Sus scrofa: one gene and its partner. The protein of the gene in region 1 purifies or fractionates together with the protein of each later gene. This does not show direct contact. Links are inferred from orthologs where the notes say so. Each region holds a gene or a part of one and is shown in the gene's direction. Other genes may lie near its edges.

The links.
Region 2: the proteins of SNAP25 (region 1) and STX12 purify together in Homo sapiens (co-immunoprecipitation; 3 studies listed by BioGRID and IntAct, with this or other methods). This does not show direct contact. The link is inferred for Sus scrofa from reciprocal best matches to the Homo sapiens genes SNAP25 and STX12.

What each region holds. Positions count from the first base shown.
Region 1 is NC_010459.5:19,094,703-19,099,053, forward strand, and holds the start of SNAP25 (synaptosomal-associated protein 25), read left to right. Parts: upstream 1-1,412; 5' UTR 1,413-1,592; intron 1,593-4,351.
Region 2 is NC_010448.4:84,917,461-84,921,831, forward strand, and holds the start of STX12 (syntaxin-12), read left to right. Parts: upstream 1-1,366; 5' UTR 1,367-1,496; coding exon 1,497-1,614; intron 1,615-4,371. UniProt on the Homo sapiens protein: SNARE promoting fusion of transport vesicles with target membranes. Together with SNARE STX6, promotes movement of vesicles from endosomes to the cell membrane, and may therefore function in the endocytic recycling pathway.

The sequences.
Region 1 (4,351 bases):
GAACTTACCTCCTTTATAAATATTTACATTCCAGAGTGATGGGGCACTTGGGCTTTCGGGGGAACCTTAAAAACAGCATCTTGAGAAGGTGTCCAGCTTACTCAATAGCCATTGTGCAGCCTGATTTCACATTGAGATCATTTCTAAAATACCAGCTTGAGCATGAGACTAGTACTAGAAAAGTTCTAGGTCAGGAGGAGGTAAGGGGCTCAGCTCCTAGCTGTTCACTAAATGTGAGAAGCTGAGCAAATTCCTTGGCCAATCTTGACCTTGTTCTTCCCACAAATATTTATTTGAGCACCTACAGTGTGCCAGGCACTGTTAGTAGAATAACCAACCAGACAAAGATCTTGCCCTCAGAGAACTCATGTTCTAGGGGAGATGTATGATAAACAGATAAATAAACATGTAATAAGGACATGAAAACAGTAAGGAGGTTTATGAAGACAGACAGTACAGGTGCAGTGGACAGGATGCTATTTTGGATAGGGTGGTCTTTCGATCAGAGTGAAATAAATGTCTAGGGGAAGAGAGTTCCAGGTGGAAGGGACAGCATGCACAAAGGTAGGGATGTGCTCTGGTGTGTTCAAGGAAAAGGAAGAGGCCAGGGTGGCTGGAACAGATAGAATGAGGGGGAAAAGTGGAAAGGGAGGAGGTGCATGGTAACAGGAGCCGATTTTGGAGGGCCTGTAGGCTTTGTAATGACTTGGGATTAGCAGGTGACAGTACTCTCTGGCTTAATTTCTAGAAGCATGACTTTGGCTGCTTTTTAAAGAAGGACAGTCTTCTCATCTGGAAGCAAAGTGGAGCAGGCAAGAGAAACAAAGATGGCTTCCCTCTGGCCCTCTATGCACTGAGATGCCAAGTCACAGGCTTTGTGGAACAAATCACAGCCCATCTTGGTAGCGGCACAGCTAGGCTGGGGTAGCTCTTTCATCCCAGAGGCCCAGGGCAGTGCTATCCCTCTGCCATTAGCCTATGGGGGAAGGACAGAGCCCAGCCCCCAGAAGCTCCTAAGGGAACTGGTAACCTCCCTGCAGCCCCTGGAGCTCAGAGTGGCCTTTTGAAGATGGCCGCTTTTGGGTGGTTCCTGATATAAATGGAACCCGTTTGCTGTGCTTCATTTCCATCCAGCCACCAGCCTTCCTTCCCAAAAGGTCATCCGGAAAGGCCAATGGGCTTAAGGCATTTGGCCTGAGCCCAGCAGAGTGATTATTCTGCGCATGCTGAAGACATCAGGATCTTACTCCTTTTTCTGGGTCATCTGCTTGGTGTGAATTCACCCAAATAACATCAGTTTGGTATTTTTAGAGATATACTTTTTAAGTGCATTTCTACTCTTCTACAAAAAAAAAAAAAAAAAAAAAAAAATCAAGCTAAGGTTGGGGCAGGATCCCTCTGAGATTTAGAGACCCATTAGGCCTCTTGCCTCCCACCGCTCCTTCTGGAATCAGCCCTCTGCACCCGTGCCTCCTAGCCACTCCAAGAATCCTGAGTCACTTCACCGGTTCTGTTTCCTTCCTTTTCCCAGGCAACGTTCCAGATGCCAAGGAACACTGCAGCTCGGCCATCGCCTCCCTTCTGCAGGGCAGGTATTCGCACCCCTTGGCCTCTCTCCAGTGGCCACGGCTCCAGGCCGCGATGGAAGGTCGGGGAGACAGATTCCCCCCAATCCCCACCCACCCCCGCGAGCAGAAGACGCGAGGCAAGGAGGGGTGGGCGGAGGCGCTGCGCAGGCCGGGCTGAGCTGGGCGGCGGGGATTCGCTGGTGCGCGCAGGATGGGAGGCGGGCTCCTGACTCACTGCGGTACCCGCGGGGCTGCCGCCAGGCCTCCCCCGCCCCCTGCCATCTGCAGCGGGGGCGAGGCGCGCCGGGCGGGCCTCTCCTGGGTCGGGGGTCGTCGTGTGGGCTTTCCAAACAGCCCATGCTCATTTCCGCGGGAGCCCTCGGGGCGCGATGCTGTCACTGTTTGTTTATTTCCACGTCTGCCCCGGGAGGCTCCGCCAGGGCAGAGCTTTCTAATCCACCCCCTGATGCATTCGGGGGCCCTCTCACTTGGCATCGTGCCTGGCACGTCATCACGACTTGGGCGATCAGTAAACAGCAGTGGAAGGAAGGCGGAGGGAGGGGGGTGAGAGACGGGAGAGAAGAGCAAAAACGGAAGCGGCTTCGAGTCTCTGTATCTGCAGAAGCGCAGACCATCTCTCTTGGTAAAACTGGAATTAAAAGTCATCGTTTGGAGGTGTGGGGGCTTGGCGACCCCTCACACACCTCGAGCATCCTCCCCAATGTTTATGCTCCTAGAGTGACAGTGATAGTAATCAGGATGGAAGGAAAGGACCAAGAGAAAAGGGGGGATGTCTCTTACTCTTAAAAATGGGGTGGGGGTCATAAAAGCTCAGTTACTCAGCCCCAACCAACAATTGCCCCCAAAGCAAAGCAGGCTGGTGGCCCCTTCCTTCCTTATCATAACTGGAGAATTTGCAGGGCCTGGAAGATTCTCAGGCACATCTAGGAACCCATTTTACAGATGAGGAAATTGAGGTTCAAGGATTCTCATGTGCCCAAGTCGAGGAAGACAGGATAGGAACAGAGGTGTTGGGGCTTGGATTTCCAGTCCCTTACCCTACCTGCTGCACCCCACCACCTCTCCCTGAGCTTTCTCCCCTCCTGATTTCCCCCCCAAAATGAAAGTTCATGGAAAAAACCCACATCGTGTTTTTGTTCAAGGGGTAGACTCTGAAGATGTAGAATTCTGGAGACAGAGACCAGGCAGCCAGCAGCCTCTGAAACCCCCACCCATTCCGGGTGGGGGAGCAGCTGCCAGAGGCTGCCTAACGACAAGCTTTCTGGGGCAGCTCTGCTAGGGAGAGGTGTGTCTCTCGCAGCTCCAAAAACAGATTTTGCCATCTCATCCCCACTTTTGCAGTCTCCAGTTGGCTTCTTGTGATTGGCCAGAACTTTTCCTCCCTAGCAAGATGAGGAGAATTGGCCTCCTCCGACTGGCTGGGAGAAAACATTTCACCGCAGCAAAGATGCGAATGGCAGTTCCACCTCCCTCTGATGGGGGCCTGGGAGTCAAGTGGGGTCTCACCAGGCTGAATGATGCCAGGGACCCTCCAGGGTCCCCTACCTCTGACCTTGGGGAGAGGTGGCCTCTGACAAGGTAGCTGACCTTAGCCCTTTCATTTTATAATTGAGGGTGTCACAGTGGATGCTTTGGCTTTTTGGAGTGAAACATTTCTCAAAACCTAATTTTAAAAGTTGTCATCAGGGCTGGCAGCTTGGGGACACAGCAGGGGGTTGCTAATATGCTTCAAATTGGGGGCAAGGAGAGCTTCCTGTCTGCCTACTCCAATCCACTCCCACTTGACTATGCCATACCGATTCCACCTTTCTCCACTGTCAAGAACTCTGCCCTGAGAGCTGCCCACCTTTAGCTTGACCTGCAGGCTTCAAGGCATTCCCCAGCATCAGGCTGTATTAGCTTTTAATATCCCAAATGCAGTCCTTCTCTCAGCTACTCATGGAGAACTTAAACTCATACTGAGGCCCAGGCGACACCTCAGATGGAATAAATCAATTTCTGGAGGTGTTTTCCAAAGTTTCTCCCCACCCCCACCCCCTGCCCTCCAGACCCCAGGGACTGTAATGTACAGTGAGATTGAAAACCACTCTTGGGACGATAACTGCTGGGTTCACCTACCCACATCCTTCTAGTAACAGGGCCTGATGTTCCCTTAGAAATCCCACTTTCTCTGGATCCATGTGATTGAGCGATGTTCACTACCCCCCTCACTTCCCACTGTATTCCTCTCCAGGGGGCTAGCAGGTTATCAGTTTGGCCAATTAGCACATGCCATTCCCTCTGGAGAAAGTAATAGTTTCAGCCACAGTACGTGACCCAAGGAGGCCAATGAGAATCCGCCTCAAGACTTTTGCTGAAACTGCTGGGAAAAGAGAGGTCTTTTTGTGCTACAGTTTTTCAGTGGAAAATACGGGAGTGCTGGGCTCCCAGCAGCCGTTTTCATCACCACGTGAAGAAATCCTGCCTGTATACTAAGGCCACACAGAGGAGAAGAGAGATTATTGATAGAGGAAAAAGGATAGAAACCTAATTAAAGCTATGCCTGAAGCCAAATACCCTTCAGTAACAGAAACAAATAAATTCCCCCTTTTCATTCGAACCAGTTTTTGAGCTGGATTTTCTGTGATGTACCACATCACTGCAGAATTAATCTGTTACATAACTAGGTGTTACCTTGAAATGCAGAGAACAGAGTTCTGATCTGAATGGTCGCCATGAAAGTGACCTTTGATGTTCATGGCAAATAGTCTGGAGCATCAGAA
Region 2 (4,371 bases), on another chromosome or scaffold:
TTTTTTTTGGTCATTTCTAAGGCCACACCAGTGGCATTTGGAGGTTTCCAGCCTAGGGGTCTAATTGGAGCTGTAGCTGCCGGCCATAGCCACAGCAACGCAGGATCTGAGCAGACCCTGTGACCTACGCCACAGCTCACGGCAGCACCAGATCCTTAACCCACTGAGTGGGGCCAGGGATCGAACCTGCAACCTCATGGTTCCTAGTCGGATTCGTTAACCACTGAGCCACACGGAAACTCCAAACTTCACTTTAAATAGAGTCAAATGTTAATGAAAACATTCTCAAGAAGATTTTATAGGTAAAAAAGTAAAATTTACATGATTTGCTATATGACATAAAACTATGGATTCTAAGAAATGGTAGGGTTTTAATAACCAGAATGAGAGCCCCTAAATGTCAAATGTCATCTGTCCTTTTCTAAAAAGAAAAAAACAAAACAAAACAAAACAAAAAACCTCTGTTACAAATGCTCTAACAGAAAATAGAGATAGCCTTGCTTACAAAAGTTCTAAGGCTGAATGCAGGCTCATTCACCCATTTGGGGTGTCCCCCCCAACTCAGGCAAGCAGCTTCCTGCCTTGGCTATTTCCCAGAGATAGTAAAGCAGACTTGGTGTGAGGTGCGGTGGAGAACACAGGAAACAAACACTGCCAGTTCGCCTTCACGTCTATCTTGATCTCCTCCCAAAGCAAAATCCTACCCCTGTATTTCCATTTATCATACGCTTACAAAATGCAGTCTTTTATGGGAACATTGAGGTCATTCACTCAAAATGCAAAAAAGGCAAAAAAAAAAAAAAAAAAAAAGAGAGAGAGAACAACTGAATTGCAGTGAGGGGTCACACATAATATGTGCTCAATAAATCTTACCATTATTATTATCGTTTTATTGTTTAGACTACGAGACTACAAGAGGGGTGGTAGAATGAGAGCGATTTGTAAACCATAAAAGTTCTCCACAAATCCTACCAAAGCCTTTGAGGCTGGAAGCAGAGTGAGGGATTTCAGGAGTTTGGTTACGCATCTGAGCTTCAAGGTTATCAAATTCTCCCATATTTGGGCCTGAAGTCTCAGAATAGAACAGAATAGGACGTTAGGGCTGAGATCATCTGGTACAATTTTATGCTAATCGAAAAATTCTTGCCTTCTTGTCACCGTGCCCTGGCGATAAACAACACCGCCACCCCAGATCCTCCAATCCGAGCCCCAAAGGTATGATGTCATCGCTCCGCCCTGCATCCCCAAGCCCCAGAGCGTCAGGTCTCCAAGCTACCCATCTCGGCACCAGTTCCAACAGCGCCTGCGCATTGTGGGGCCGGTCGGGTCGGGGACGGACGCGTGCGCGCCGCGAGGGGGCGGGGCTAGTGCGCACGCAGCTTCATCCCCTTCCCAGCCCTTTCTCTTCCCGGTTTCCCTGTCAGCCTGCGGGTCGGGTCTGGCGGCTGCTTCCGGTAGGAGCGCGGTGCAGGGCAAGTCGGTCTCGGCTCCTCGTCATGTCCTACGGTCCCCTAGACATGTACCGGAACCCGGGGGCCTCGGGGCCCCCGCTCCGGGACTTCAACAGCATCATCCAGACGTGCAGTGGCAACATCCAGCGGATCAGCCAAGCCAGTGAGCCGGGGTACCGGGCTGGGGGGCGGGGACCATCCTGGGGACAGGCCTGGGTGAGACTACCGGGACGCGGAGCCCGGCCAAGGCCACAGCCGAGGCCGTCTCGGGCCCTCCGCTCTGGGTGCGGCGGGCTGCCATCCTCGAGTCTGCCAGGCCCAGGCTCCCTGAGAGTCCCTAGCCCCAGCTGAAGCTCGAGTTTCTTCTCAAGAGTTTTGCCCTAAAGGTGTTGGGGCCAGGACTACAGTCCTGACAACTCCGGGGTGGGAGGGTGTATATGTGTCCTCTCCAGAGTACTAAGTGAGTCGACGTGGTGCAGTGGTCAGCCGAGTTTTTCCTGTCATCTGCCTCCCTCCACCCACCTCTCTTTCCTCTTTGGTCTGGGTCTGGAGTTGTTTACTGGTTTAGACTTTACTTTCTGCTCAGCTTCTGGCTTCTTGGACGTCAGCAGCTTTCAATTAAGGGAAGTGGAGAGTGCATATGTTTTGGTGATTTTAACCCAGTTCTTTCTGTAATGGATTTTGAAATCAGACACAATGACTTTAAGGGGTGAGATTCTGCTTTAATAAAGAGATTTCACCGAAAACATTTCAACTTACGTTGTCTTTGTAGCAAAAGATATGCATATATTTTTGGATTTCAAGCCAATGAGGGTTTTGTTTTCCTTCCCCATTTAGTTACTCTTTTGAACTAACATGAGACAGGCAAAGGGACTTAGTCTCCATCAGCTAGCAAGTAAGACATGGCAGAGTTGGTGGTGGATTTCAGAATGTCATTGCTTGTCTTAAAACTACACACCATCCAACATTAGGGTCTGAATGAGACTGCAGTTGAATGAGTCAAATACAAGCTATTTCTTGTGCCTGAAAATCAGCTCAGAACCTTGTAAACAAGAGGTCAGCAGCGACTATTTGGAAAGAATGGTATCATCATCATCCTTGTTTTTTATTGTGTTTTTGTGAGCTTGGTTGTCCTCTGTTAATAAGTAGAACTAGCTGGCCCTGAATTACAGTTATGTTCTATCTATCACTTTGCTTTAAATTTAAATGTATAATGTAGAATTTTGAGCTAGGGAAAGTTTCTGATGGAAAGCGTTTGAGCCTGGATGCTTGGAAAGTGGAAAGAAGAATATGTGGTCTATTAACTGCAGAAATTTCAAACAAAAATTAATATGACCACTGGTTAGAAAGTATAGTACTTTGTGTTCCAATTTCCTTTTGTGAGGGAGCCGTAGCCCAGATTAGATCAGAAAATTCTCGTTCAGGGCTGAAAGTTTCTTGTTGAGGCCAAATCTCATTTTAATGTCTATCTGTGAAATGTTCATTCTACTTCTGTTTGAGTATCAGGCATGTAGTATGTATAGGAACTGGCATGGGTTCTTTTAACAGGGAATCCGTGGCATACATAACAACCAAAATAAAAAGTTGAAAGAGATCAGTACTATAGAAGAAGTGTAATAAAATTATAGATATTCAGGAGAGAGACACCTTTTTCATTTGGGAGGGGCCGGGGGAGGTGTTTGGGCATTTGAGCTAGGTTTGGAAAGATGGTGGGAAGGATTTGAACTTTTGGCAGTTAAAGAAGAGAATAAAATGAACAAGGTGCAGTAGTGGGAAAGCGTGTGGTGTGTATAGAAAAGTAGAGTGATTTAATTTGGCTAGAATGGTGAATTCCAGAAAGTAGTGGAAAATAGGATTGGAAAGGTAAGTCGAGGCCCAAACATGGAGGACTGTAAGTGCTAAACTAAGGGGGCTTGGATTTAATTCTTTAGAAACATGTACATTGAGTTGGAAGGGAGCGACTGGAATCATGGACACCAGGTAGGAACTGAAAATGCAAAGAAGGAAGGAAAGGATAGGAGAGGTATCTTTGGTGATAGAATTGATAAAGTTTATCTGTTGATTAAGCAGGCATGAGGGGAGTTCCCATTGTGGCTCTGTGGTTAACGAACTAGTATCCATGATGATGTGCGTTTGATCCCTGGCCTTGCTCAGTGGGTTAATGATCTGGTGTTGCCATGAACTCTGGTGTAGGTCACAGACGTAGCTTGGATCTGGTAGTGTTATGGCTGTTGTGTAGGCCTGCAGCTGTAGCTCCAGTTCAGCCCTTAGCCCAGGATCTTCCATATGCTGCAGGTGCGGGCCTCAAGAAAAGTGGGCATCAGGCTCAAGTGGATAATTGAATTCAACTATTAATAACATTAATAACTGACATTTGAGTACATACTGTATGCCAGGTAATATAAGCTTTATAGGAGTTTCTGCTGTGGCTCAGCAGGTTAAGGACCTGATATCATCACTGTGAGGATTCAGGTTCAATCCCTGGCCTGGCTCAGTGGGCTAACGATCTGGTGTTGTTGCAAACTGTGGTCTAGGTCCTACGTGCAGCTCAGATCCAGTGTTGCCGTGGTTGTGGTATAGGTTGCAGCTGCAGCCTTAGTTCAACCCCTGGCCCAGGAACTTCCATATGCTGCAGGTGTGGCCATAAAAAGAAAAAAAAAAAAGTGCTTTACATGCATTATTTTACCTAATTTTGTAACAACCCCGTGAAACAATTACCAATATTACTTCTTTTTAAGGGGTTAGGAAACAAGCTGAGAAAAGTTAAATAATTACCCAGCTGGCAAATGGCAAAACATAAATTTGAAACCAGATCTGTGTCTTATGACCAGCATTTAGCCTTTTTATAGTTTTTAATTAATATTACAGTTTTGTAGCAGTTAACGCTTCAACAGGTTACAGGTGACTTTTTCTTTTCCTT